Oreochromis niloticus: one gene and its partners. The protein of the gene in region 3 binds, or shares a complex with, the protein of the main gene of each other region. Links are inferred from orthologs where the notes say so. Each region holds a gene or a part of one and is shown on either strand. Other genes may lie near its edges.

Evidence for each region.
Region 1: taf11 (region 3) and taf3 share a complex: the UniProt entries of both Homo sapiens proteins name them as parts of the TFIID basal transcription factor complex. The link is inferred for Oreochromis niloticus from reciprocal best matches to the Homo sapiens genes TAF11 and TAF3.
Region 2: taf11 (region 3) and taf8 share a complex: the UniProt entries of both Homo sapiens proteins name them as parts of the TFIID basal transcription factor complex. The link is inferred for Oreochromis niloticus from reciprocal best matches to the Homo sapiens genes TAF11 and TAF8.
Region 4: taf11 (region 3) and taf13 share a complex: the UniProt entries of both Homo sapiens proteins name them as parts of the TFIID basal transcription factor complex. The link is inferred for Oreochromis niloticus from reciprocal best matches to the Homo sapiens genes TAF11 and TAF13.

Annotation. Positions count from the first base shown.
Region 1 is NC_031972.2:48,372,787-48,380,788, forward strand, and holds the start of taf3 (transcription initiation factor TFIID subunit 3), read left to right. Parts: upstream 1-4,978; 5' UTR 4,979-5,193; coding exon 5,194-5,359; intron 5,360-5,732; coding exon 5,733-5,975; intron 5,976-6,436; coding exon 6,437-8,002. UniProt on the Homo sapiens protein: The TFIID basal transcription factor complex plays a major role in the initiation of RNA polymerase II (Pol II)-dependent transcription.
Region 2 is NC_031984.2:7,320,345-7,328,347, reverse strand, and holds the start of taf8 (transcription initiation factor TFIID subunit 8), read left to right. Parts: upstream 1-4,997; 5' UTR 4,998-5,118; coding exon 5,119-5,166; intron 5,167-6,926; coding exon 6,927-7,086; intron 7,087-7,375; coding exon 7,376-7,474; intron 7,475-7,559; coding exon 7,560-7,622; intron 7,623-7,734; coding exon 7,735-7,859; intron 7,860-7,972; coding exon 7,973-8,003. Other genes in the region: g0s2 (G0/G1 switch protein 2), read left to right, coding at 3,972-4,325. UniProt on the Homo sapiens protein: The TFIID basal transcription factor complex plays a major role in the initiation of RNA polymerase II (Pol II)-dependent transcription.
Region 3 is NC_031984.2:12,203,385-12,210,209, reverse strand, and holds taf11 (transcription initiation factor TFIID subunit 11), read left to right. Parts: upstream 1-3,818; 5' UTR 3,819-3,926; exon of another isoform or gene 3,927-4,113; intron 4,114-4,288; 5' UTR 4,289-4,310; coding exon 4,311-4,478; intron 4,479-5,473; coding exon 5,474-5,604; intron 5,605-5,697; coding exon 5,698-5,785; intron 5,786-5,884; coding exon 5,885-5,981; intron 5,982-6,069; coding exon 6,070-6,200; 3' UTR 6,201-6,821; downstream 6,822-6,825. Other genes in the region: ankyrin repeat and SAM domain-containing protein 1A, read right to left, coding at 2,625-2,794. UniProt on the Homo sapiens protein: The TFIID basal transcription factor complex plays a major role in the initiation of RNA polymerase II (Pol II)-dependent transcription.
Region 4 is NC_031984.2:31,664,037-31,669,844, reverse strand, and holds taf13 (transcription initiation factor TFIID subunit 13), read left to right. Parts: upstream 1-4,491; 5' UTR 4,492-4,627; intron 4,628-4,706; 5' UTR 4,707-4,709; coding exon 4,710-5,084; 3' UTR 5,085-5,295; downstream 5,296-5,808. Other genes in the region: slc35h1 (solute carrier family 35 member C2), read right to left, coding at 457-540, 1,065-1,233, 1,859-1,931, 2,039-2,102, 2,871-3,021, 3,213-3,323. UniProt on the Homo sapiens protein: The TFIID basal transcription factor complex plays a major role in the initiation of RNA polymerase II (Pol II)-dependent transcription.

The DNA of each region.
Region 1 (8,002 bases), on a different chromosome or scaffold from region 3:
GTTTGAAGCTGGAGGATCTCTATATAAATATCCGATAGCAGCTAGGTCCGCAGCTGTTGAAAGGATAAAGTTGTGGTATGTCAGTGGTTAGAAATACCATTATTACTTTAGGATTAGTTTAACACAAAGTCAGGGCTGACCCAGGACCATTGCTGTGAGTCACAGTGCGCAGCATAAAGGTCCTTTCACATCTGATGCAGGATGTGCTGCTAATGCTAACTGCTAACTAAAAGCAAAGGATCCAGAATTTGTTGCGCTGGCTGCTGAGCTCTGTGGGTTTTTGCAGCAGCTCTACCTGTACTAGATGCACCTGCTCCTTGTCGTTTCTATCTCTGACTTTATGTCCTCTACAACAGTTTCTGTTTTTTTTGCTAGTTCTTCAAATGTTCAATAAAAACATGTATGCTAATTCATAACGAAGAAAGCTTTGTAATGAAGACTGTCATTTCCAAAACACTGCCCCCCCCCCCCCCCCCCCCCCGCGGTCCGCAGCGCTGTTGAAAAGGCTGTGGAAGTCCCTGTATAAAGCACGTAGACCTGTGACACAAAAATCACCAAACTCGGACGACCACAGACTGTTTTCCTTCGTGGTGATGAAGGAAAACGCTGGGTTGGCATGTAAAAGGGCATTTATTCCCTTCAAGGACCTGCAGTTCAAAAAAGTGCCCCTCCGACAGCCAAACCCATCTGTTCTCTGATTGGATTGTTACATTTGTGATTGACATGACATTCACCAATCAGATGACAGGAAGAAAAATAGGGTCAAACTTCGTATTTGTAACTTGCAGGGGAGTTTTTGGCTAAGTCCACACACAAATCTTTTTTACACATACAAATCTTTTTTACGCACGCACAAATTCTTTTTACACATACAAATCTTTTTTACACACGCACAAATTCTTTTTACACATACAAATCGTTTTTACACACACACAAATCTTTTTTACACATACAAATCTTTTTTACGCACGCACAAATTCTTTTTACACATACAAATCCTGATTTACAAGTACAAAACTGATTTACAAGTACAAAATATTTATGACCACATTTTGAGCCCATACGCAATAACAGAAGTTTGAGTTGAGCAGGAATCTTCCCAGTTAGCCTAGCGTTCAGCAAGGAGGCTGCAGCGCTGCATTATGGGATCTGTAGTTCGTATATTATTAGCGCCTCATATCGCCGGGCCATGCATAACAATAATAGTACATCTATATAAAATGATCTCGCGGGCCGGATATAAATGTACGCCGGGCCGGATGTGGCCCGCTGGCTTTAACTTTGACACATGTGCTGTAGACTTCTTTATCCCCAGAAGTCTTTTTTTCCCCTCATTTTTTCTTTTGCAAATAGAGAAGGCCCTCTGCTGGTTATTTAAAAAATTGAGCTGGGTTTAAGGCACTACTGCATTTGCTTCACTTTTCAGAACCAGAAGTTATATAAATGTAGTCTTGGGAGGTTGAAAAAAAGGAGGTTTTTGAAGATATTTCACCTCTCATACAAGAGGTTATTCAGTTCTATAAACAGGCCCAACTTGTAGAACTTTGGCAAGCTCATCCGAGCCTTTTCGATGTGGCCTCACAAAATTAAAACGACCGCAACAACTGTGAAAAGAGTTGGATGGACATTGCTGCTCAATTGCAGCTGCCTAGTCAATGTCTTTCATTAGTAATTTAGCAAAGTTGATGGTGGTGTGTGTGTGTGTGTCTGTGTGAATGAAAGACAGAGAGGGAGACCAAGAGACAGATTTTGTGTTATAAGCTTCATGTTATCACTTCACTTAATGGACGCACAGTGTGAGCACTCAGGTCACATCAGAGCATCGGGCTGTATAGTGTGAGACCATGCATCGTGACCTACGAACTTCTAACTCCTGCGATTCAATCATACAGTTTGAGCAGGAGCTGAATAACGCAACTGAAAAAAATCGCACAGTGTATGCCCAGCTTAAGCTATCCAATGAAGTGAAGCAAACAATGTCTAGATGCATGCTCAGTTATCTAGGTAAGAAAATCCCAAGAAAGGAATTGGATCCTGGATTGCGTGGCGCAAAGGACAATTGCTGCCTAAATGAAAACCTTTAGTGATCCCCTATGTCAGGAGCATCCGAACAGATGAGAGACATTTTCTTTCAACACAATGTCTCTGTGCCTTTCAAACCCCAAAACTTACTACGCCAAAAAAATTGCTTCACCCCAAGGATCGGATTCCCCAGAACAGACAAAGTAATATAGCGTACATAGTGAAGTGCCATAGTGAAGTGAGTTATACATCAGGAAAACCAAACAACCTCTGGCTGGCTAAGCAGATGGCACAACACAAACCAGCTACCTCAACAGGCCGGGACTTTTTACACCTATAGACCAGTGGCAACTCTTTCTAGGCTGAGATGTACGCATCCTGGCAACACTGGTTTTAATCAAATCAAATCACTTTTATTGTCACGTCACATGTGCAGGTACACTGGTACAGTACATGCGAGTGAAATTCTTGTGTGCGAGCTTCTCAAGCAACAGAGTTGTGCAAAAATACAATAACGTAAAACAAGCAAAAATATAAGAATGGCTAAATCTGAAAGTAATAAATATATGTACAATGTATAAGAGTATATGCATTATTGGATGTGTATACTAAATATGTTTTTCTACGTGTGTGTGTGTGTGTGTGTGTGTGTGAGTGTGTATATACATCTTTTACAAATGAAATAGAGTAAACAATAAAATAAGATATATAAAATGTGCAGAGGTTGGTAGTTGGACATGTGCAAAACAGTGGCATTAATGTACAGTATGGAGTGCATAATGTTGAAGTTCCAGTAGTGAGGGTGAGGTGTCTATGACGTGTTCAGCAGTCTGATGGCCTGGTGGAAAAAGCTGTCTCTCAGTCTGCTGGTGCGGGACCGGATGCTGCAGAACCTCCTTCCTGATGGAAGTAGTCTGAAGAGTTTATGGCTGGGGTGACTGGAGTCCTTGATGATCCTCCCCGCTTTCCTCAGGCACCGCTTCCTGTAGATGTCTTGGAGGGAGGGAAGCTCACCTCCAATTATCCGTTCAGCACACCGCACTACTCTCTGGAGAGCTTTGCAGTTGTAAGCGGTGCTGTTGCCATACCAGGTGGTGATGCATCCAGTGAGGATGCTCTCAATGGCACAGCGATAGAAGGTCCTGAGGATGTGGGGGCTCATGCCGAATCTTTTCAGTCTCCTGAGAAAGAAGAGGCGCTGCTGCGCCTTCTTCACTGTTTTGTTTATGTGTACTGACCATGTGAGATCCTCAGCCAGATGTACACCAAGGAAGCGGAAGCTGCTCACTCTCTCCACAGCGGCGCCGTTGATGGTGATGGGGGTGTGTACTTCCCTGCACCTCCGGAAGTCCACTATCAACTCCTTTGTCTTTGCGACGTTGAGGGTGAGATGGTTGTCTTGACACCAGTGGGTCAGGGCGCTGACCTCCTCCCTGTAGGCCGTCTCATCACCGTTGGTGATAAGACCCACTCCCTTTTATGTAGGGAGACAAGCAGGCCATTCATGTAGGGAGTGACTACAGGAACAGATCAGAGGTACATTTTTTCACCATCTTACAGCCTTTCTCCCACTCTCTGTGAATGGTACTCAAGGCCATTGATCAGTGATTGATCAGTGGTGATAACCATTTGCATATTAATGATCACGAAACTGACCTCACACCCATCATTAATCAGTGGGGCTAGTTTCAGTCATTATGCAAATATATTGTTATAAGGTTCAGGAAATCTGCAGTCAGCTGAGACTTAAGACGTCCCTTGGAGGAGTGACAAAGCATTTCTCCCTCTGAAAACACAAAGTCGAGGTGAAGAGAATCAACTTTCTGGAATCCAATCAAATAACGACTCACAACAGTAGGTAAGTGACTCTCAGGACAGGCCAGTCTAGGGCTAAATACCGAAGACTCTCCGGTGGTTAGAGGAAGCTTCTTGAATAAAATGGCAAAACTTCTTTGAGAACCTAAAGAAGTCCCATTGACTTATTTTCCAGCAGTCAAGACTTCTGGATTGACTGAGAACCTACACAGACACATTTGACACTTCCAGCATTCGCCACAGCTAATAAGCTTCACCATCACCAAATCTACAACCAGTTTTGAGACCCATGATAGAATTTGAGACTTCGGATTAAACAGCCATCTCCAGCACCATTGTCACAGAACCAATACAGATTTTTTTTTTCAAGAATGGTCCTTAAGGGATCCAATAACTTAGGAGAATCATTGCAGAGGTGCACTGAAGCTTTTGTGGTGGGCACATGGTGACCAGACACATTGACACTGGCTTTCCTTTGATGTGACTGTCAGTTTGTTATACAAGTCTGGAAATATATGGAGATAAACTGAAATTCGACTGCTTAATAAAGGTCTACAGCTGGAAGGCGGTGATCATTTTTAATAATCCAGCACCACCCAGTGTGGGGAATTAAACCTGCAGGCAAACCACGCTCTATTTCTCACACAAACTCATGTGATAAAGTTTACGTTAGCTTTCCAAATTTAAGAGTCACCTAGAATTAGCTTTAGTCTGACAAAATGAATTTTAAAAAGCCACCCTGCAAATTGGGATTTTGTTTTTCTCAGACAGTGGGTATATTTTTCTTGAAATATTCTACTTTTTACTTGGGCCGGAAGTGAGAAACAGTTACTTCGGCGTCACTCGGCGGTGAGAAGCTAAAACCGAAACTGACGGCTGGCGTGCCCTGAACGTTGTGAATGTTCCTGCAGCGTCAAAAAAAACGCGCATAGCTTAGTTTAGTTGAGTCATGGCTCTAATTTAAAGCCATGTTTCATCTACGGTAACTAGTCTACATTCAATAGCCCAACTAATGACCATTCCCAGCCTGAGTAAAATCTAGCTTCCTGTATAACCCACAGAGAGAGCTCCTGCGCCTGTGCAGACAGTCACGATCCGCTCGAACTCCGCAGAGCCGTGTAGGCGGAGGCTCACTGGCGCGCATGCGCGGACTAGATTCCGGGGATGGGTCTATCGATGGAAACAAGATGGCGACTCTGGCAAAAGCGCCAATATATTTACTGAAGTAGATGTCCATATTTAACCGTGGTAGTGGGTTTTCCCAAGCCCTTCGGGGCATTCCGCGAAACATGAAGAGCGGGAGCATGTTTTCCAAGAGGAATTGACCGGGATTAATATCGTAACAAAGTCAGCGAGATGTGCGAGAGCTATGCCCGCTCGCTGCTGCGTGTCTCGGTGGCGCAGATCTGCCAGGCTCTGGGCTGGGATGCGGTTCAGCTCACTGCGTGTGATCTGCTGTCCGATGTGCTGCATCGGTACATCCAGCAGTTGGGTCGGGTCTGTCATCGATACTCTGAGTTGTGTAAGTGCTTTCTTTGGTTCTCTTATTACTTTTTTTAGCCTGTAAACTCAAAAGTAGTCGATCACGTTGTTGTTAACTGGCTCTGCAGCTGGCGCCCCCTAGCAAGCAGTTAATGTGTCAGAAAGTACAGTAGGAACAGCAAAGCGACTTCCCCAGTACTATTATTATTATTATTGGGAGTATGCTGCTTTGCATCTGTTTTCAGTGCTAAAAGTAGCCGATCTCACGAGTATTGGTTACTTAATTGCTGTATAATCTATAAAATAACGTCGTATGCCGACTGTAAACCTGTTGAGCATCACTTCTTGGTGCAGGAAGAGTGTGTGCAGAGTGTGTGCTGTGGTTTAATGACAGCATTTTTGATCCATTTCAGATGGAAGAACAGATCCAGTCCTGGACGATGTCAGCCAGGCTTTCAGACTGCTAGGGGTGAGTCTGAGCGAACTGGAGGACTACGTCAACAACCTGGAGCCTGTGCCCTTCAGCCACCAAACACCGCTCTACCCTGTTAGCAAAAACAATGTCCTGCAGTTTCCCCAACCTGGAGTTCGAGATGCAGAGGAAAGGAAGGATTACATTCCAGAGTATATGCCACCCCTGGTCTCCTTACAAGAAGGTCAGTATAATAACTTGTATAGTATTAGCTATATGATCATTACTTTTTAGTGTGCACAGGCTGAAAGTTGAAAGCAAAGTCGAATCAAGTCCTCTCTAAATACTTTGCAAACAATATAGCATTATAATTAAGTTTATTGCAGGGTTGTTACATTAGACTATGATGTAACACAGCAGATTCGTAAAATAGTTTTTTACGAATCATCTTTTTGCTTTGTAGACATTTTATTGTGTTGTAAATTTTTAATGTATATTTATATTATATTTTATATTTTAAGTTGCTAAAAATAAGTGTAAATGCATCAATTCACACAAAGTGAAATACTTTTTTTAATACCCAAATATATTCAGTCAAAAGTCAGTCAAGTCAAAAGTTCAAACTAAAGTCATATGTTTATGTTGTAAATGTCATGTTGTTATTGTCAAAGTTCTTAGTTCTGTTTTTTATCTCCTTTACTCTAGAAGAAGAGGAGGAAGAGGTCCCCCCTGATATGGGTACTTCAGCTGAAGCTATGCAGGTGGCACTGGAAGAGGATGAGGAGGAAATAGATGAAGATGAAACGGTCAACGATGAAAATCATCCACTAAAGAGGCACCTGGATAGTCCTGATGCAGCTATGGGCATGATGCCTACCTCCAAGAGACCTCGGATGTACCCTGGCCTCAGCCCAGAGTGGGGTCTTGAGCCCAGGGAGCCCCTTACGTCTCTCAACCCTCAACGTGTTAGTCCAGGTATTCTGCCTTCTCATGACAGCCTGGACCCCCTGTCACCTGAAATGCCATCTGGTACCCTGCCTTCCTTTAGACCTCAGCCCGTAATACCAAAACACTCTGATCAGAAGGCCCTCACTGCTCCAGCAAGAAAGCCTAAGGTCTCTTCCCCTGGCAGACAAAGGACTAAGTCCCCTAAAGGGGTTATTCCTGTTCCAGTGGTTGGCAGTCCCATAAATTCACCAAAACCATCTAAGGAAAAGAAAAAGTCTCCAGGCAAGACAAAGAGTCCTAAAAGCCCCAAGAGCCCTAAAATGGCCCCTGCTAAAGCCCCCCAACCTCAGAGCAAACCAGATGTCATGCAAAAGTTACCGTTGTCCACACCGAGTGAGAGCATGGGCAAAGACAATATTCATTTGCGTCAGAACATAGAAGAAAGGGAGCTAATTGCAGGCCCTTTCAAGAAATTAGAGCCAGATAATAGAGCAATTGATGATTCTATTGACGCTGTGATAGCTAGAGCATGTGCTGAACGGAAACCCGATCCATTCGCGTTCTCCTCGGGCTCTGAGTCGGATAGCAATGGATTCTCCAGTCCCAGGAGACTGACTATTATGGAGCCATCTACACCTAAAGGCCCAATTGGTGCTGGCATCTTGTTAAAAGACACGTCAACACCACTTCACCCTCCGCCACACATAGGCCTGGGGAATTGGACGATGGATGATTCAATCAACGAGGTGATCCGAAAGGCCAACCAGGGGGGGCCATCTGCCCCCGCTGCACCCCAACCGGCAGCAGATTACGTGTCATCCGGATCAGCTTCACCACCTACCCCTGAACCACTCCTCAAGGTGTTTGAGGAGAAAAATAAGATTGTGTCATCAATAGATGTCAAGAAGAAGCTAAAGAAGGAGCTGAAAACTAAGATGAAGAAGAAGGAGAAAGACAAGCCAAAAGATAAAGACAGGGAAAAAGATAAGAGTAAGCTGAAAGAGAAGAATAAGGACAAGAACAGGGATAAAAACAAGGAGTTTTCTAAAGATGGGAAGATGCCCTGGAAGGAGTTTGGGGTAAAGGACGAGGAACTTTTTGTTCCACGAGACTTCGCCCTGGCTGAGGGCTCAATCAAAATGAAGTCAAGAGATGGGGACGGCTCTAAAAAGGAGAAGGAGAAACATAAAGACAAAAAGAAGGATAAAGAAAAAAGTAAAAAGGACAAGGATAAAAAGGACAAGGGGAAAGATAAGAGCAAGGACGACAAGCAGAAGCAATCTACATTATCCCCCTTTGGTCTGGGTGATATCCCGCCACTGT
Region 2 (8,003 bases), about 4.9 Mb from region 3:
GAGTTTACATGGAAAAAAAACATTTTACCTGGTAGGTACACTTAAAGCATGTGGATATAACGAACAAATACATGTAATATTCAGATTTATATAATACTTTTTTATTTTTCAACTACAGTTCATCTCCATAGATGAACTCTTTATTTATTGTATTTGGTATTCTTGATTTAAATCTGAAAATCAGGCAGAATAACTCAAAACACCTGAGTGTCTGTGTGGTAACACCCTGGCTGTGACCTGAGGAGCCTAAAGCAAACAATCTAGAGCATGCTGAGTGTATTTTATTTTAAATTCTCAGCTCCATACGGACTTATTTCTCACCCTGAATGTGTTTCTGCCCTCTACAGGTCAGTGTTGCTGTTTTGACCCAGCATACAGCTGGTTTGCGTCAGCAGCTCCCAGGTACTGAGAACAACAAGTGGTTGATTCAAGCGGTGTGGGAGATCCACAGTCTGTGTGGGGCATTTTATTTTGGAGAGAGTGCCTAGGAAGCTTCCCAAAAACCACACCAAAGTACACAAACCACAACGAAACTCACATGCTCGGATGCACGAGTCTCATTTTTAACCAGAACAGTTTTGACAGTATTCAACAGAACTGTGTGATCTAGGAGGGAAAGCGATGGATGAGATGGGCTCAGCTCTAGCCGGGCTTTGCATGACTATCCGTGTCGTTTATGGTGACGATGTTCCTGACCACTGGTTTTTGATGGGGCAGAAGTCAGCTCATCCGAACACTTTGTGTTCATGATTCCATGCTTAAAATAATACACACAATGACGTCAATGACAATTATTGTACTTGATCATGTGTAAAGCACTTTCTATAGCCAGCCTGCATTTGTAAGCACAATAGAATAGAATAAGAAAACCGCATGCTTACTGCATCCAATAAGCCATACTGTTGTAATTTAATATGGTAAAGTTGTCTCATATTTTTGTTACTTTCTTTAAGTTAATTGTTTCATTAATTTATTTTTTTAATTATTTGCTTCTTTTTAAAAAAAATAAAATAAAATAGAGCAGATCAAATTCAAGTTTGAAATAAAAAAAATATATAACAATGTATATTTAAACAAACCTATCATTAACAGTGTAAATGCCACAAGTATATTCATTAAATGCCATAAACCTACTAGAACTTTTACATTCAGCTAAAGTCTATTGTTAAACATCTTTATTCACTTATTGTAAGCGGTTTACTTTGGGCAGTCTGCTGTTTGTCTCAGTATGTGGCTTTGTAATGATGGATTTAACATATATTAATGTTATATATGTATTATGCTGGGATCTCTGTATACTCAAAAATAAAGGATCTGCATTTGTTTTGCTGTGGTTGTTTTACCTTCACTCCTGGGAAACAAATTAATGGTAAACTTTGTAAATTAAATTAAGCTATTGCCAGTACATACACTAGCTAACCAATCACATTTCAGCCGGCAGCTCAATGCATGGTCAAGATGAGCCGCTAAAATACAAAGCAAGCATCAGAATGAGAAAAAAAAAAGGTGATTTGCAGTAAGTTACTTTGAACGTAGCATGGTTGCTTGTGCCAGATGAGCTGGTCTGCATATTTTACAAAGTACTGATCCTTTTTAGCACATTTAGCACCACATTGAATCCTGAAGCTGATGGGCTACAGCAGCAGAAGGCCACACTGGATCCTTGCCAGGTGGGCAACAGGAAACTCAGGGTACAGTTTAAACAGGCTTTGGTCAGACGTGTTTACTTTCTAAATATAGATTTTTTTTTTCTTCTTGTTAATTTCTGCAACTTTCTGCAAACTTGCATGTTATTTAGCATCATCCTAATATAAATACATCATAAACTGGGACTCATTTAACCTGAGCTGGTAACCTCAGTTAATCTAACCAACAAGCCAATTAGCAGGCTGTACTTCTGTACTTCAGCCTTTCCAGCACAGTCAGGATTACAAGGAGCAATGTACTTAGAACAGCAGGTTCCAGACGGAGTAAATTAAGCCAAGTAAGCCAACAGATACAAAACATGTCCTTGTGACCAGGTTTAAATGGCTTTTATTATAAGATGTGAATAGGAGTCAAAAGCTGAGAAATTTATGTTGACTTAAAGGGTATATGCTTTACATTATTATTCAGTTAACCCCGTTTATGAATTTCCTGTATTTGCCAAGCTGGATTCAACAAGAATAATCTAACTGCAAACACTGTGTTACAGGTAAAACACTCAGTTTTAAAATCTCTGAAATAAAAAAGTCACTGTGTGTGTAATTTCTGTAATTATTTTCACATATAAACATTTTAAATACTGTGTATCTAAACTCCTTCTCCCCTTAGCTCCTGTTGAAAGAGTTTTCACATCCACATTTGCCATAAAACTTCCCCCTCAACCACAGCATGGTGACTTGGTGAAGTCCAGAATAGAGACAGACTGTTCATTTCAGGCAGAAGTAACAAAAAAATGGAGCAAAGGTCTCCAAACAGTCTCAACATTTTCCCAGCAGTGGCAAACATAAATGCCCAGAGCTCAAACTGAGTTGCTCAAAGAGGAACATTATCGACTGTGTAATTATTGCGTTATTACCTGCAATATTTTAGGCAACCCTGCAATCCAAAAGAGGACAAACGGGGTGAAAGGTTGTCCCTGGATTAGCTATGAAGAGTGGAATTAGTGTGGATACTTTTTAGCATTTTCTTCTGTATTTTACTCTGACCTGATGTATTAGTAAGAAATTCTTTACATAAAATCTTCACCTCCTTATTCAGTTCAAAATCTCAAAGTACTGAATTAAAAAGTAATGCTTTAATGTAATGTCATGAGTAATCTGTATAACTGCTCTACTTTACTTAGAAAATTATATTAATATGCAATACGACAGTTAAAGACTTATTGTAACGTATTTGGTCACTACCAGCACAGCTAAAAGTCAAACTGGATAAAATGTTAAGCATGATTCATCTGGTGTACAGATGTTAAAGCAACGTGTGGTTGTCATTTTCACTCAGTGATGATGTCTCTGTGACAAAGATCAGACACATTTCCCAACTCGCTACTCTTCTCTCGTGCAGCAGGGAACTGGTTCAAAGGGCAGAGAGTTTGAGACACGTACACACGCACGTACTGTCAGCATTTTGGACAGATTTAGGTCCAGGAGCAGAGCAGCTCAGGACAGCATGTTTTAGGGGATTCTATTGACCCTTATCTTCTAATGAGGCTTATCTATTGCTGTTCAATAGGGGGTATTCCATGTGTAACCAATACTGTTGTCAGACAATATCAATTAACCAATAAATGGGGCTGGCTTTCCACAGCCCTGCATACGCTTATTGGACACTAATGAAGCTCTCCTGATAAAGATCAATATGCATGGCACAAACCCAGGACTCATGTTGTTCAGTGGTCAGTAACATGTTAACTGTCTGAATGTTTACATCATTTATTCATTTATTTTTAACTTTTCTTACACAGAAGGTGTGCCTGTGTGTGCTTGAAGAAGTTAATGAGTACCAACCAATGTTGCAAAGCATTACTTACTGTCAGAACAATATAATGTTTACTGCACGAACTGCACATGCAGAGTTCAGGCAACATGTCACATCACATGCATTTCATCACATACAGGGATTGGATGTGTCTGCCCTTTTACCCAAACAAGTTCTAATCTCCAACAAAACAATTGGAGTACAAGTGGCCTCATGAATATGCATTGTGTCCCCAGTGTGGGCGTTAACCTGGCCCTGCTTGGGTTTAAATATGCAGGCTCTGCCTTTGCCTCTGCCTGCAAAGCCTGATTACTCAGAGCGCACAGAAAAAGAGAATAAGAGAGTTTGCGCGTGTGCTTTGAAGTAAGTATTATTCTCTCTTTTTTGTGGATAGTAGAATTTTTGCATTTTAATTAAATGGATTAGTTGTCAGGAGTAAATCTTTGTACTGTTTACAGAATATCTGGTTACAATTGTTCCTTTTCTTTTAACAGACTCATCGACAACACATTATGGAAAACTTTGGCGAGATCATCCCATTTGCGAAGGAGATGCTGACACAGAGACCCAGCCGGAGCATGCTGAAGATCTACATGCTCGGCTCTACTCTGGCAATGCTTGGTATGGTCGGGGGACTGGTAGAGATGGCTTTCCTGCCCTTTGTGGAGAGAGATACTGAGGAGGATGAACCAGCAGAGCTTATCATCCTGAAGAAGAAGGAGAAGAAGCAGGTGCTGAAGCCACACACTGCCTCTGCTGATAGTGAAGTTGTTGATGTGGTGGATACAGTAATGCCTGAGGAAAAAGCCAAATATCTTTTGACTTCAAGGCGGAGAAGCTCGGCCAACCGCTTACATGCTTCTTAAAGAAACTTTCTCCTCTTCACATAAATGGACACTAGAGATGATGGTAATGTTGGTAAATCAAGTCATTGTGTGGAAATGGTCCCTTCGTGCCCATTCTTTATTTCAAAAATTGGTTAAATGTGCAGTTTGCTCCTGTTGACTGGGTAAAAAATGAGATGAGATACAGTGAAGACTGCGGGTTACAGTAATGTTGGCTGCTGGGCAGCAGATATTTGTGAATGTGATGTGATAGATTTGTTGTAAAAGTGGAATATGTGTGATTAAATTTGTTTTGCACCCTAATAAAAATATATTTTTTTCTCCAAACAATTGTCTCAGACCATGACTTTAATATAATCTGTGGGGTAGGTTACTTCAAAGAGCGGACCTCGTGTTATAATTAGCAAAAAGAGAGAAAATGGAACTAAAAAGATGCAACTGATCTTTTAATCTCAATTTTCTTCATTTAATGCAATAATTTTAGAACTATGACTGAAAAATATATTTTAAAAAGTATCACAAATACCTTTTCCAAGTACTTATTTTGCATTACAAATTACCAAATTAAAAGCCTGCTATATTAATTTTACAGCAGAGGATTTTCACAAATTAGAAGTTGAAGCAGGTGTAGTTTTACAGATGAACACTCGGGGGCGACAGACAAACAACATGTGTGATACGATCGCCTTCCGCTAGAGTGGCGGAAACAACGTCATACAGTCGTGCCGTGTTTACTAACGGCGGCTAAACGGTGTTCGGAGAGATACAAATATAAATCTGGTCAAAACAACGAGGAGGTTTCTAATAACTGCAGATGGCGGATCCTGCGGTGGCGTCGGGAGGCCCTCTGAATGCGGGAGCGGTAAGAAATGTGTTTTTGGGTCACGGAGAGGAGGCGGATGTAGCATGTAGAGGCGGATTCGCGGTGCTTGGCTAACAGTCAGACTGCACTGAAGTCCTAATTCAATTTAACAACTTTAAATAAATATAATTTAGTCCGGTGAAAGCTTGAAATACGTTTTTATAGACTATAAGGTGGGTTAACTTTATCTATGTCAGTGCTTACCCTGTCTGAATAAATGTTTGTGTCCTTAAAGTGACAGGAAGAGGTACGTTTTACATGTTCTTTAGTCTTAACATATGGGCACATCCTCATCTAAATTACAGCTGTGAACAAATAGAGTCTATACCAATATCACAAACACTAAATTTAGGGAGAATGAAGGTTTTAGCAACACTTCTTGTATTTTTCATCGATATTTGGGGTAGACCGACAAACCGTTCGAGCTGTTATAACTTCCATCTGTCTGCTAACTACAAGGGATGGCTATTAATAACATTTTAGACAAGGTCAGTTTATTTATAAAGCACCTTTATTATTAATAATAAAGTGGCACAGCCATTCAGTACAGTTTAATTTTATTTATATAGTGCCAATTCACAGCAACAGCCCCCTCAAGGCGCTCTATATTATAGACAAAAAAACCTACAATAATACAAAGAAATCCAACAGTCAGACCACCCCTAGGCAGCTTTAATGTTTGTCTGTTTTGTTTGGCCTATAAAGTATAAATCGTGCCTATTTGGATCTAAAAATGCTGGCGGAAAAAAAAAAAACGAAAATTCAAAAAAAATGTTTGATCTTTGTTGATATCCCTGACGTTTACATGAGCTAACCATGCCACTAAGTCTGGATTCATGAAAATGTTGAGGACAGTCCAGTTTGTTTGTTTGTTGTTTTTCCCCCCAATAAATACAGCAGCAGATTTTAAAGGTGTTTTCTGTCCACATGGTTGGGGAAGGTTCAGTGAGCATTTGCAGTATGTGTTATCACTTTGACTCAGAACTGTTGCATCAGTCTCCAGTGTAATCAATGGAGTGAGCATTGCAGTTTCAAGCTGCTTTAGTACCTCGGGGATAATGCAGTTTGCTGCAGTGGCAAAAATTAAATCTCTCAATTACACAAATGTATCTTACAGAAACATGTCCACCATCCTAAGCTCACTAAGAGCTGGATGGTGAATTAGAACAATACATTTTAATATTAACATAAAATTAATTATTATAGAATTGATTCAGATAAACAAAATGCCTTTTTAAATCACCCAGAGCCCAAATATTCTCCCACTTTCACCACCAGCACTGGGAATGTTTAATAAGTCTGTTCAGTAAGGACTCTTGAGAAATGTTTGTGAAATGTAGAAAATATGACAATTTTGTAGGTTTAGAGGCTCCTTGCCACTATATTTGTTAGAAGTCACATTTATTTCTAATGTTATGGTAATAGCCCTCATAACCTTAGTGTGCATGCACATTGTTGGCATATTGGTGTGTCCACCAAGCAAAGGGAATAACATACACTGTGTGGTAAATTTGCAAAGCTAGGCTCATTATGCTCTGTTTGTTATACTTCAAATTACAAAAGCTAATGTCCATGTGCCCCTTAGCTGTAAGTCAATTAAAGATTCTGGAACCATGTGTCTGTTTATTTAGCCTTTTAAAGAATCCTTTAGTCCCAAGTGTGTTGTGACTATAAGGAGATATTTTTCTCATTAAGACAACGGCATATCTATATGTATTTCTGTTGTATACCCTTATTCACATTTATTTTATTTTTCTCAGCGTGGAAGTGCTGGTAAAGCAACTTCTAGCCCTGCAGAAAACTACCTCCTGGCCCGCCGTCGAACCCTGCAGGTCGTTGTCAGCGCCCTGTTGACTGAGAGTGGCTTCGAGAGTGCAGAGAAGGCAGCTGTGGAAACCCTAACTGAGATGTTGCAGAGCTGTATGTATGATTTTTAAGTATACACCATCCACTGGGAAAGCTGTAAATCTTTAAGTGCCACTTTTACAATATATATCTGAACACCAGTGCAAGTGCACCTCACTTTATTTAACCTACTTTCTTAAATAAACACTAATGGGAATAATTTTGGTAGAGGTTGGTGAAAAAAAGCTGAGAAACTGACATAACTGAGCCCCTGTAGACTATTTTCAGAGCAGACGTTTCTTGAATTTGCAGTTGGTTGATGATTCATGTTTACAGAACTGATTATTTTTGTCTCTGTTTTTAGATATTACTGAAATAGGTCGATGTGCCAAAGCATACTGTGAACACACAGCCAGGAGCGTCCCGACACTGTCAGACACAGTGGTCACGCTTATTGAAATGGGTAAGACCTCCTATAACACATATGGATTAAACGTTGCTAAGAGAACACAATACTGATTCGATTTATTCTGTTTGTGTCATTAAAGGTTTCAATGTTGATACTTTGCCCATATATGCTAAAAGATCACAAAGGATGGTCATAACTGCCCGTAAGTAGGAACTCAGCTCTCCATTATTAGTATTAAAATGAATGACTTGAGACCTTTTGATCCAGTGGTTTTAGATGTGAAAAATGTTTATTTATTTATTTTTTAATTTCAGCTCCAGTGACAAATGCTCCTGTGACTCCCAAAGCGCTGTCAGCTGGACAGAAGCGCACACATCCAGCCCACATCCCCAGCCACTTCCCAGAATTCCCCGACCCTCACACGTATATCAAAACACCTGTGAGTCAGAACTTTTCCACTTCATTATGGAGATCCCTAGAAAGCTGGATTGTGTATTATAGAAGTACAACTGTACTAAAAAGTAAGCCACTTAAGAGTTTTTCTTCCTGTAGACTTTCAGAGAGCCCGTGTCAGACTACCAAG
Region 3 (6,825 bases):
GCTTGTGTTTGGATGACCTGGGCCAGGAAATACTAGTGTTGGTCTCTTCCTGTATACCTCTGGGTTCAAAAAGGGTCATAGGGCTTCTAGTGAAAACTACAGTATGGAGGAAAAACAAGTAAATATATGCCCTAAAATTAAATTCATGTAACTTAAATATGAGTAGCCGCCGCTGTGCTGTAGTAGTAAAAAGGTTACACTGTGATCTTACTACTTGAGGAAGCACTGCCCAGCTCGTTTCGGTGTTAATGGAGCACCATGGAACAAATGTTTGGGGCGGCAGGGGTGTTAAACACGCCGGGGGTCAGTGTCTATACCATGGCAACGGCTGGGATGCAGCCTCCTGGGAAAGCAGACATTCAGCCGAGCAGAGCTGTACAACAGCCTGCGCACAAAAACACTGCAAGTCGTAACATGCGTTCCATTCCAGAGTAAGAACGCTAACGATCTAGCAGAAGCACACACACAACAAAACACTTCAAAGAATGGGACTAAAGTTGATTAGCTCACTCATCTGCATCACCTGTGGTTTCATTTACGTGATAAACAAGTAGGTTTTTCCACTATATTGAATGTACAAGGTCAAATACAAACAGCAACTGACAACAGCAATAACTGTCATTATATATCATCTCATATAACTGAGCCTGAAAAGCAACTTGAAGTAAGGAAAAGTGTTATTACACAAGTAGAAATGAACGGACATGGAATCAAGCGGAGGTACAAGCTGACACAACCAGAACAGGCGAAAATTCGCCAAAGAAAGCTGTCTTAGCCACAGATCAAATCTCCTCTGACAGGATTACAGGCCTGCACTTTCTAACAATGGATGATGAATGGGTTGCAAAGAGATTTTGATAAAAGGGGGTTGGAAAAACATGCACATACAAACCCACAGCCTGTGCCACTGTACCAATCCACTGTAATACCCTTAGATGTATTGACATTTTCATTGTGGAAACCAAATCAAATGTCATGCACAACAGAAACAGCCCTCCAAAGCAGCCAGTCAGAGTCAACACTCATGCAAATTCTTATAAGAGCCTGTCCAGTATTCTCAAGTGTCACCAGCCAGAAGCTTTTTAGATCTACACACCACCTATTTATTCATTCATTTCCTCCCGAGCCTAGCCAATAATTTCCGAGAGATCCCATTGCCAAACACCGATTGCTCAAGACAAATGAGATGACACAATGGGCTCGCCAGTCCGCCCACGGAGCAGTGAGGATGAGACGAGTCAGCCTTCACTGCATGACATTTCTGAATTGGATTTCCAATTAGGAGAATTTAATGTAATAATCTCAAGCAAATTTTGCAGTCTCCACTAAGTAACACAGTGGCGCATCACCCCAAGCTTTGCCTTAACACTTCTCCCTCAGAGGAAGGCGGCTGTTACCGGGAAACCCAAGGGAGCAATTTTACATGATTGACATACACTTTACCACAGACAGGCGACCTGCAGGTTGTATGAGAGGCAGCATTTAAAAAGGCTATAAGCCTTATATTTTTAAGGAGTCGACTCCTTTTCAACAAAAGGACTTTTTTTATTCTTTCTTTGCAGGTTTTCATATCACGTGTAACACACAGAAACTTCATGATTAAAAAAAAAAAAAATTATCTGTCACCAGAGAGAAAAACAAGAATCAAACTGTGGTGAGCCAATAATGCAGATAACACAGCGCAAAATGAAAAATAACTTATCTGATTTTTTTTTATTTGATTTTTTTTTTAATATCTTATTTAATGTTCTCAACATCTGCACAACCTTACGGGGATCTTATACTTCTACTAAGGGCTTGTCCCTTTACTATATCTTTTAGCTTTACCCAGTGTGTGATTTTGGGTAATTGAATCTGGTTATGTCCACAGTCACTATCAATTGCAGACAATACAGTGTGGGCAAGTATGACAGCTACTTTATATAACTCTGGGCTGTTTTTTCAGTTTTTAATAGTGACCTCATAACTACTGAAGGCAGACAGAGAGAGCAGGAGGAAGGAGAGCTAACTCTTTCTAACCATACAGAGTAGGTCTTTAATAGATGTGACAAACCACATCAAACGTTTACCTCACCGAGGACTTCCTCCAGTGACTACTAAAAAAAGAAAGTCATATTCCTGGCTCACACAAATCTGAGGATAGTCAATAAGGCTTCATACGACAAAGATTTCCTTAAAATAAGAGAATTTTGCTAAACAATGAGAATCCAATTGTGACAAGACTTTCCATCTCCAGACCTGTGACTGTGTTCACGTCCAGACGCCATGTAAGCATTATAATTACTGACACATCTGCAATTCGTTTCTTTAAACGTAATCGTGGGCCGATTCGTTGCAGATTTCGTTAGTTAAGTTGCATAATTTCCTCCCAGGCTGTTTGTGCACATTATAGTAGAAATGGCAGTAACACAGGAGGAGGTGTAGGCTAACAAAGAAGCATGCCACTGCTTGGGCGCTGCACTGGTTTGGCTTGCGACTGTTTGACAATGCAGGGAAGCATGCAAACATGAAACATCGTTTCTTGCAGTAACAATAAAGGATTGGGTAATATTCGCCAGGGGCAAAGCTGCTGGCTGTCTCCCATGTAGTCAGAGCCACCTCGCCTCGGCTTTCCCTAAGCCTACCTGAGCAGACTGGAGAGCGGATGAGAGGAGGCGCCGTGGCCACCGCTGTTGCCGCTTCCACCGGTCCCAGACGATCCGCCAGCGGACTGTCGCTTCCCGGATAAAAGCTTCTCCACAGCAGCCAGGTTTCCCGTGCGCGCCGCTTCAAGAAGCTCCTGCTCCTTTCCCATCGCGGATCCCAGAAAGAAATCAAAGGAGGCGCGGGGAAGAGAAGGAAAAAGGGGAGGGGGGTTGGTTATGGGAGTGAAATTCCTGTGCGAGCCCCTCTTTCTCCCGACCTCAAGTTATTCCTCAGTGCTGCTAAGTGTGGAGAGGAAACAAAAGCTCCCTCCGCCGCGCTGGATCCGTCCGTCCCGATCCACGGGTGCTTCTGGCGCTCACGGGAGTGAAAAGTTTCCTTCAACAGCACGGCACAAGCATCGAACAAACTTCCTCTGACCAGACCACTGAGCGTCGTCCGTCACTTCCTCGAAACTGCCCTTTCTTTATGCATCTCCAATCCGAAACCCTTCAGACGCACACACACTCGCACACACACACACACACACATTTATACCCCCTAATACCGCCGCCCTTACTGCTTCAATCAGAAGGTGGATGGATATAAGCAAGATGGCGCATTGGTTAGAGACAGGCAGGATTTACCCATTCAGTGCTTTTAAGATCTGTTCGCCTCTGACCTCTTGTATCCACAGTAAACGTCCATACATAGTCGCTTAATTACTTACTAAACGCTTTTTAAGTTACTGATTGGTAGTCTATAAATACAAATAATACTACTAGTAATAAAATCAATAATAATAACAATAAGAAGAACACAAATTAAGAATAAAATTTTTTAGGAATAACTATAACTGTGAATTAATCTTACTGTCAATGGAACTACCTGACATTAGCAGCTAGGCAACTCTAATCGTATTAATTCCGGTCAAATTAATAAATGTTTTACAGCATTTTGTCCAGTGAAAGTAGATAATCTGGGAAATAACAAGAGAAAACCAAGGAATATATTATGCTTTATTTATTTCAGACAGAAGCCACTTGCAGCCTGAATATTTACTGAATATTGCGCTGTAATTAAGGGGCAAAAAGACAAAGCAAAACGAAACAAACAAACAAATGAATGAACATCGTCCTGTTTATTCCTAACTTCTGAACGTTACTTCCATAGTCCGTCGCTGGTTACTACACAGAAGGCGGTGTTAATAAAGTTCATACAAAACGGAAACGGAAATGCGTATGCTGTGTTAGCAACATTACCAGGGAAATTAGCCATCTGATGCATCGTACCTCTTACTATAGGTGGTTACATATTTATATAATCCACAGCTACTGCGTTCATTAGAATATAATTTTGTGTACTGGGGTATATTATATAAATCAGGCATATGTTAGCCGCCGCTAGCTTCTAATCGTTAACTCTAATCGTTAGCTTAAATTGACGGCCAGACTGTTGCCGCTGCTTTGTTGACGCCTAGCTGCGGACAGGGTATGTGCATACTCGTTTGTTTGTTTTTTGTAAAGTTTTATCCACACACTGCTATTAATACTAATGTACCTAATTTCTGGGCTATCTAGCTAAAACAATTAAGTAATTTAGCTAATTGTAGCTAGCTTTTTAGAGTTGGGGTTAAGTATCTCATCAACTTCTTTGATATTTGCAGAATCTAAAGTGAAATTAGTAAAATGGCAGACCCTGCACGGATCAAGAGCGATGATGCACTTGAGAGGACATCTCCTACCGACGAGGAGCACCTGAAGTCAGAGGAAAGCGAAAATCCTTCAGCCACAGAAAAACCTGCAAATGAAAACCTAGAGACATCGTCGCAAGATCAGCTTAAAGAAATTAAACATGTGAGTTTCGGAGCGTCATTTGCATAAGTTATTCAAGAAAGAGGTTATAAAAGAAAAAGTGTGATAATTAGGGCGATGAAGAAAGTAAACAGGAGTACTGGAAGGCTGGACGCACTGCAAAGGCTTATAGTGAGTTGTATGTGAGGAAGGAGAAAAAGAACTTGTATCGACTGGTAGACGGAGAAATCAAGATGGAAAGTATTTGAAGAAGGTTGGGGTGATTAAGGATAGAGATGGAAATATGGTAACAAATGGATCTAGAGAGAGGAAATGATTGGGTGCCAAGGGAGGATTGCTGTTACAGCATGATAAGGCAGGAGTGGCAGAGAACTATGTAAAGGTGTTACCGGACATGTACAACGATATTGAGACAATGGTGAGGTGTGCGGCAGGAATTACATATAGGTTAAAGGTACATCAGGATAATAGATGAGGTCAGGCAGGTCATAGTTTATGTGAATTTTGATGTTTTCAGACTGCGTTGTGGCTGTTAGTGGGAATGGGGAGCAGATAGAAGAGAGGTGGAGATATGTGCTGGAGAGAAGAGGAATCAAAGTCAGTAGAAGCAAACAGAATACATGTACTTGAATGAGAGGGGAATAGGCTTAAAAGTGAAAATGTAAGGAGCTGAGGTACTGAGCGTAGATTAGTCTATAAATATATGGGCTCAGCCATCCAAAGCAATGAACCGTGCAAAACGGAAGTGAACAAGGGAGTGCAGCCATACAAGATGGTAATGAGACCTGCAATGAGGTGTTGTTTGGAGACAGTGGGGGTAACAAAAAGACAGGAGGTGGAGTTTAAGGATGCTAAGATTTTCACTGGGAGTGACCAGTGTGGACAGGGTTAGACATAGTTTAAACCAACAAAAATCCTAAAACCTGAATGATCAGATTTGAATTTACAGGCTGTCATTTGTGTTTTTGTTATGTGGTTTCACAGTGGTGTCTCTTTCTTTGTAGTATTTCTGAATAATTTTGTCTTCCACTGGATAGGAAACACCAGGAGGAGAAGATGAGGAAGAGGGAACCTCTGGCCAGCCTCCTTTGAAAAGGTTAAAAGTGGAACCTGAGAAGAAAAAGGAGAAGCGGCACAAGGTTGATGAAGATGAAATACAGAAGATGCAGTAAGACGGCCTTTTTAATCTCACAGGTCATCGTTCTTATTCTTGAAATTATGTAATTTGCCAAAATTCACCATAACTCCATAACATTTTCAGAGTTTTGGTGTCATCATTTTCTGAAGAGCAGCTGAATCGATATGAAATGTACAGACGTTCTGCATTCCCTAAGGCTGCCATTAAAAGGGTAAGTTTTTTGGGGTTTTTTTGGTTTTTTTAATAGAGGAAGTATTAAAAACCCTGAAATTGTTGTATTGATTTGATGCCTCTTATTTTAATATTCTAGCTCATCCAGTCAATAACAGGATCATCGGTGTCCCAGAATGTGGTTATTGCCATGTCTGGTATCGCAAAGGTCTTTGCTGGGGAAATTGTCGAGGAAGGTTAGTTGGAGGATTTAAGAAAACCGAAATCACCCAGACTACAAGGTTATATGAATTATAGTTTCATGAGGTGTCTTTGCCTTTACAGCTCTGGATGTTTGTGAGAAGTGGGGAGACACACCACCACTTCAGCCTAAGCACATGAGGGAAGCAGTGAGGAGGCTGAAGAGTAGAGATCAGATTCCCAACACAAAGTACAAGAACATTCTCTTTCACTGACACACCTGAGCTGCAGATTGTATGAGGATGACGGATAAATGCCAGTAATTTAATAAGTGGTGCAGAGCATATGGAAAACTCACCATGAAGCCACTTAACACATCTTGCAGCCAAGTAGGCAGTGACTACAGTCCTGAAGAGCAGTCAAGGCAGCTGCTAAGTAAAGCCGAGTTGCCATTCACCCCTCAAAGTCGAGGTAAACGTTTTTCTCATCATTAAATTGGTTGCAACTAAACCGTGAGAAATTATGGTTTTATTTAAAACATGTTTTATATTTTAATAGCCAATGTTTTGTTTGTTTTTCTTTTTGAGTGAAACATTTCAATGTGATTAGGGCCAAGCTGAAAATGCAAACATCATTTTTAGTTTGATTCCATATTTGAAAGCCTTCGTATCATTTAAGGCCCTTCTTCTCTGTAGCCAATAGTATTAGTTGTTTGACCATGAACTGGAATTGGAAATAGTTTGGACTCAAGACAGACTTGATGGAAAAACTGGGTTCTTGATATTTGTTACTTCAGTTTATATTTTTGTGCAGGTTGTCATCAAGACTTGATGAATTCTGTTTAAACTGTATTTGTAAATATTGTACTTTGAGATTAAAGTCAAGTTTGCATTATACTAG
Region 4 (5,808 bases), about 19 Mb from region 3:
CTGCACTGCAACTGATGTACAGGTGGGAGTACGGAGGAGAGACTTTACATGGGAGCTCAAAGGAGAGAAATGAGAAGAGCTCGTAGGGTGCTACAGCATATTTGGAATTTCAACACACTGGCTGTTGTGTTGTGCTCAAGTCATAAACCCGAAACCAATCAGGTCTGTGTTCTAAATTTCACTACTTTTTACACGTTGGGTCTTGGGCTTGAGAAACTACTGCTGATCTATTACACATGTGAACTATTTCCTATTTACATGTAAATGAGGTGTGGGTGTCAGAATAGACACCTTGTTGACACTTAATCAGTTTCTTAAATGGAAAATGACCATCACACTGCATAGTGGGGTCTGTAAAGGTTTTCAAAAGACTTGTAATGCCATAATTAGGGGCTACAGAGCTTAATTTAACGCAGCGACAAAACATGAAAGAAAATGAACTTATTCTATACTCACCTTCATTAAACAGGAAGAGGGGAAAGAGCCCAAGGAACATGAGAGGTTGGAGGTGGTACATGGCATCTATTGGGTTTTGAAGGCCTAAAACAGTGCAGCATGAAAAAGATGAAAATAAGAGGGAACTGTGTCCCCGCTGGGAAATCTCAAATCATAGCAGAGTTTTAAATCAGTGCTTTACAAGCCTGGCATATAGTTAAAGTTACTGCTGTTGGGCTTCAATGTGTTTTACTTTGTAAATGCTTATGGATGGATGCTGCTGTAATAAACTCAGAGGAAAGACAGTGGGAAGCAACAACCCAACTTTACCTGCTGTTAATGTTGTGTCAAAACCTGCATTAGAGCCATCACTGGTGGATCTTGTTAACTTTTTGTAGACCATTCAAGGATGACGGCTAGGTTGAAACCACATAACAGGATATTTTGGGTCTCTCTGATAGTTGTTTTCTTTTTTTTGTATTTCACACCAATCCTCTTTGAAATGGTGTGTATCATGTTTTACTGTATACCTGATGAAAGCCACAACTCAAAATTAATTGGTGTAGCTCCAGGTTATAGGCTTTTTAACCTCTTTGGAAGCCCTCACTCCACAGTGACTGAACACTTACCCAGCTCGGCTTTCTGCGTGAGGACCTGAGTGAGGGTCCATCGAATCCCCCCTATGAAGGATGCTAGGAGCACCAGAATAAAGCCTTCCAGGTTAAACTGGGTCGACTCAAAGGTAAACATAAAGAGACCGCAGGAGATCAACAGGACCACCAGGATCAGAAATGGGTTCTGGATTTAAAGGGAGAAAAGACAATGACACAGCAGTTTCAAGTTAAAATTGAACAGAAAAAAGAAGAAGAAAGAAACAGGATGGCAGATAAAAGAAGAACAGACAAAGCACAAACTAGAGGAGAGATTAGACAAGAGGTAAGGATTGCTCATTACTGCTCATGTGATGAAACCCCCATCAAGCTACACAAAACACCACTGTGCTCTGTAACAGGAAGTGATACAAAACTGAAGTGAGAGCTCAAACACCTCATAGTGAGTGACTATTGTGATTTGGTGCTATATAGATAAAGTTGAACTGAATCGAATCTTTAAGCTATGACACCATTAAGAAAAATTGGCATATTTATAACCGATCCATCACCGCTGCATGTGCAGCACTGTTTTCAAATTAGAAATTTCGCATGTTCTGCTACAGCCACAGTGCACTTTGTGAACGTTGCTGGATGCCTGCTTTGTGCAATGCACCACAATCGAGAAAACAGACTAAAAGAATTGCCTCTTGTATCATTTTGCCTGTATGAGAAGCATGCTTAATTCTCCAGTTGTGTCTGCGTGACATTAAAGTGAAGACAAAACTGCACTGTTAGCACTGCTGTCAGCGTCATGTGATCAGTACACTCACCGGCTCCTCCAGTTTAAAGACCAGAGAGAAAAACAGGATAAACAGCACTGCTGAGGACTTGGTCATGGTATACCTTGAATGACACAAAATAAAAGTCGTAGAATATGTAAGGAACAATACAGTGACTGGTTAAGATAAAATACTGAGCTTCTAATAAAAATCTCCAAACCACAAACTTACAGGCTAATGGTGATGAAGAGGAAGCTCCAATTGGAAAGTCCGATATCCAGCGCTGTTGCGATGGCTGCGGGTAAGAAGGACAGAATTTAGAAGTACAGGATGACAGGTTCATTTTAAAACTTAAACACAGTTAAAACCACTCATTTCACTGCATTTAGAGCACAAATACCCACTAAAAAAAAATAAAAAATACATGGGGCGCACCCTGGGGCGCCTCTGTCAGTGCGCCCCAGGGTGGCTGTGGCTACTATGTAGCTTGCCATCACCAGTGTGTGAATGTGTGTGTGAATGGGTGGATGTCTGGATATGTAAAGCGCTTTGGGGTCCTTAGGGACTAGTAAAGCGCTATATAAATACAGGCCATTTACCATTTACCATGTATATAATCAATCCCACTGCCCTTTATTCACATATTAAAATCACCTTGATGTTGTTTTAGTGTATACAGTACAACGGAACAAAATATTAATTACTTTTGATTTAATTACTCTGAATTTTTGCTTTTCTCAGTCTTTGACTCACTTTTTCCTTCTGACTCTTTTGCTGTTCTAACAGGTAAATTTCCTCAGTGTGGGATTATTTCAACTGATCTTATTACAACTTAAGTTTGGGCAGAATTTTAGTTTATACGAGGCAAAACTGGTTTGGAACGATTCATTTAATGCGCTTGCTTTTACATATCTTCATCAGTCTCCTCAGGGTTGGCGTTTTTATTCTCTCCACACAGACTTTAGACGAAGCATTCCGCAGAGCTTAGTCAATCGGTGAACCCAATAAGAGGCGACTGTCCCTTGTCTAAATCACCAGTCTCCCGACTCAAGATAAAACTCACCTGTGGGTGCTACTTTTCTGAGGTACTCTTTCCACCTCAGAGTAACACGAGGTTTCCCTGTCCACCACTGCACAGCCTGTCGTGTCAGAGCTGACAGACAGAAGATGATGGTGAGGTGAACTAAAGTCATGAAGAGGGGGTAATGGAAGCCCTGAGAGAGGGAGAGAGACAGCTGGGGTCATCTAGGATGGCCTAGTCAGTGTAGGTCTCCTTCTCAGGATCCAGGAGACTCCCAAACAAGCAAAGCAGAGCGCCCTCAGGTGCTTATTTTCATTAATCACCTTTAATACAACCAAGCATGTTATAGGAAACTGACATGGCTGTATGAGCTTCTTTACTCACCTTCATTAGCCATTTGTTATAGAATGTGATGCCTATAGAGAAGACATAGTAGAGAAGAACTAATCCAACAGTGCGCAGCCCCCTGCACAGGAACTGGACCGGGCACGCCATACAGGACTGCCAGGACCAGCTGTCCACAACACACAGCTACTGCAGAGGGGCCATCTCCGACCTGAACCCACATCCTCCCCGAACAGCCATACCAGACCTCTTTACAGCAGAAAAGGAACAGAAACACCGCAGAGAAGAAAAACAAGGTTACAGCAGGACTGCGTTTGTGCACATTAATGCCAGTTAGTGGAACAGGCGCTCAGACAGAATTTAAGCGAAACCTATTTGATACAATGTTAGCATAACGGCAACATTCATTTTAGCTCAAATTAAACGTTATCAGCTACTAGCAATCTCTTAACTGCGTCTGCTAGCGGATAAGCAGCTGGTAACAATGTTGTGCTAATCTTAAACACTGTGCGTTAACTAACAGGAACATCAGACAGCCCCAGCAGACGAACTCACCAGCAACAGTCCTCCAAGAGTGACTGAGAGAGGAAGGCTCACTGGATAGCTGCTACGTTTTATAGGTCAAACTGGTTTCTTTGTTAACTTGCCTTATAGTTCATTAGCTAACATTAGCCTGCCATTTAGCATCTATATTAACTTGTTAACATTATCAGGTCAGTAATTAGCTATAATACTCAATCCGGTTGACTGAGATAAGCTTTGAACATCACTTGGCGGGGCAGGAGTCCACAGCAAGATCCACGGGGACGTGTCACTTACTCACGGCAACGTGCACGTGCTGAGCCCTTGCGATAAGGCTCTCAGTGTTTACTTGGAATCTGAACCCTCTGTTCAAGCACCGAGATCCATTTCTTTCCACGTTAGCTGTGAGGTGTTGTTCTTGTTCAGCCACATGAACAATGCTTCTGTTTCCACTCACACCGCCAACTTGTCATCGCCCTTTGTGCATAGTTTGTCTAGGTCTAGGGTTTAGCTAAAGTAAAACCAAATGAAAATGGCGTAGCTTTTTTTACATTCTAAGCAAGCTACGTGTCGGCGATTCCCGCATAAACCAGGCGATATTAAATTAAGTTCGATCTTCCGATACAATCAAACAGATCGCGCTTTAAAGGAAACTCACCGTCAGCTGTGTTGGCTTCTTCACTTCTTCTTCTTCTTTGTGTTTAACGGCGGTTGGCAACCAACGTAAAGGAGCATTACCGCCTCAGCTGTGTTGGCGAATAACACGAGTAAATTTAAACACTGGCGAGAGATGGCCACAAGGGGGAGTATCTGTGATTTCTAGCCCTGTCTGTTTCCTCTACAAACCACCACTTCCTCAGTCAAGGAAACAAAAGCGGAAGTCGGCGCACATAACAAGCTGTTGTTGTGAGACAGTTGTGAACAAGCACAAGGTAAGTTTAATGTTAACGCGTATTTAACAATGAGCAGGTAATGTTGAGGTTTAGAATAACGCTTGCGGGTGTTTTTCAGCAAATGGCGGAGGAGGAGGACGAGCCAGGCTTCGACGAAGAGTTGGAGGACGGCTCCGGCGGGGTGGATGTCGGCTACGGCAAGAGAAAGAGACTCTTCTCCAAGGAGCTCCGGTGCATGATGTACGGATTTGGAGACGACCAGAACCCTTACACGGAGTCTGTGGATATTCTGGAGGATCTGGTGATCGAGTTTATCACGGAAATGACCCACAAGGCCATGTCTATCGGGCGCCAGGGTCGCGTCCAGGTGGAGGACATCGTTTTCCTCATTCGCAAAGATCCCAGGAAGTTTGCTAGAGTCAAAGATCTGCTGACCATGAACGAGGAGCTGAAGAGAGCTCGGAAAGCTTTCGATGAAGCAAATTATGGCTCTTAAAATCACAACGGGACTGTTTGTTATTCCTCCCGTGACCTTTGTTTCTTTAAATTTACTGTACGTGTGCTCGTCAGTTCTTCAGTCTTCAGACTGCATGTTTGTGTCTCGTGTGTGTTTATAGACAGTAAAACAAGAAATTTCAGTGTATATGCTTGAATTCAGACTTTTTGGTTAAGTAAAATAAAGCGACTTGCCAATAGTTTTAAAGTGACCAGGTCCTCATCTTAATTTCTTGTGCGCAAACACCCCGTTATTCAGCATCACAACAAGAAATCTTTGAAATCGGCTTAGAAAAATTAACAGTGAACTCACAAATGTTAACAAATGAGTTTTTCAGTTGTTTAAAAAAAATGACCCAATTTGATGTTTGTGGTTCTTTTAATAGGATTCTAGGAGTGAACAGGGTTCAGCATTCGGAGGGACTTGGGTGTTAAAGAGCTCAACAGTTTAACATTTCTTAGCATACAATTTAAAGGATGGGGCTTTATTTTTGGTTTTTTAGTGTAAATCACTGCATGGACTGCGTTTGTGGTCACAGTATCCACAAATGCAGATGAAACATCAAACAATCACAGAAAAAATTTATTTAATGAAGAAACACTCCCCTTCCTTTCACTTGAACGCATTAACCCTGACAAGCCTGAACTATGAAATCATTGTCAGAAAAATTAATATAATTTGAAACTGGAGTGTTTATTGAGCTTCGTCATTAATTTATTAAAAT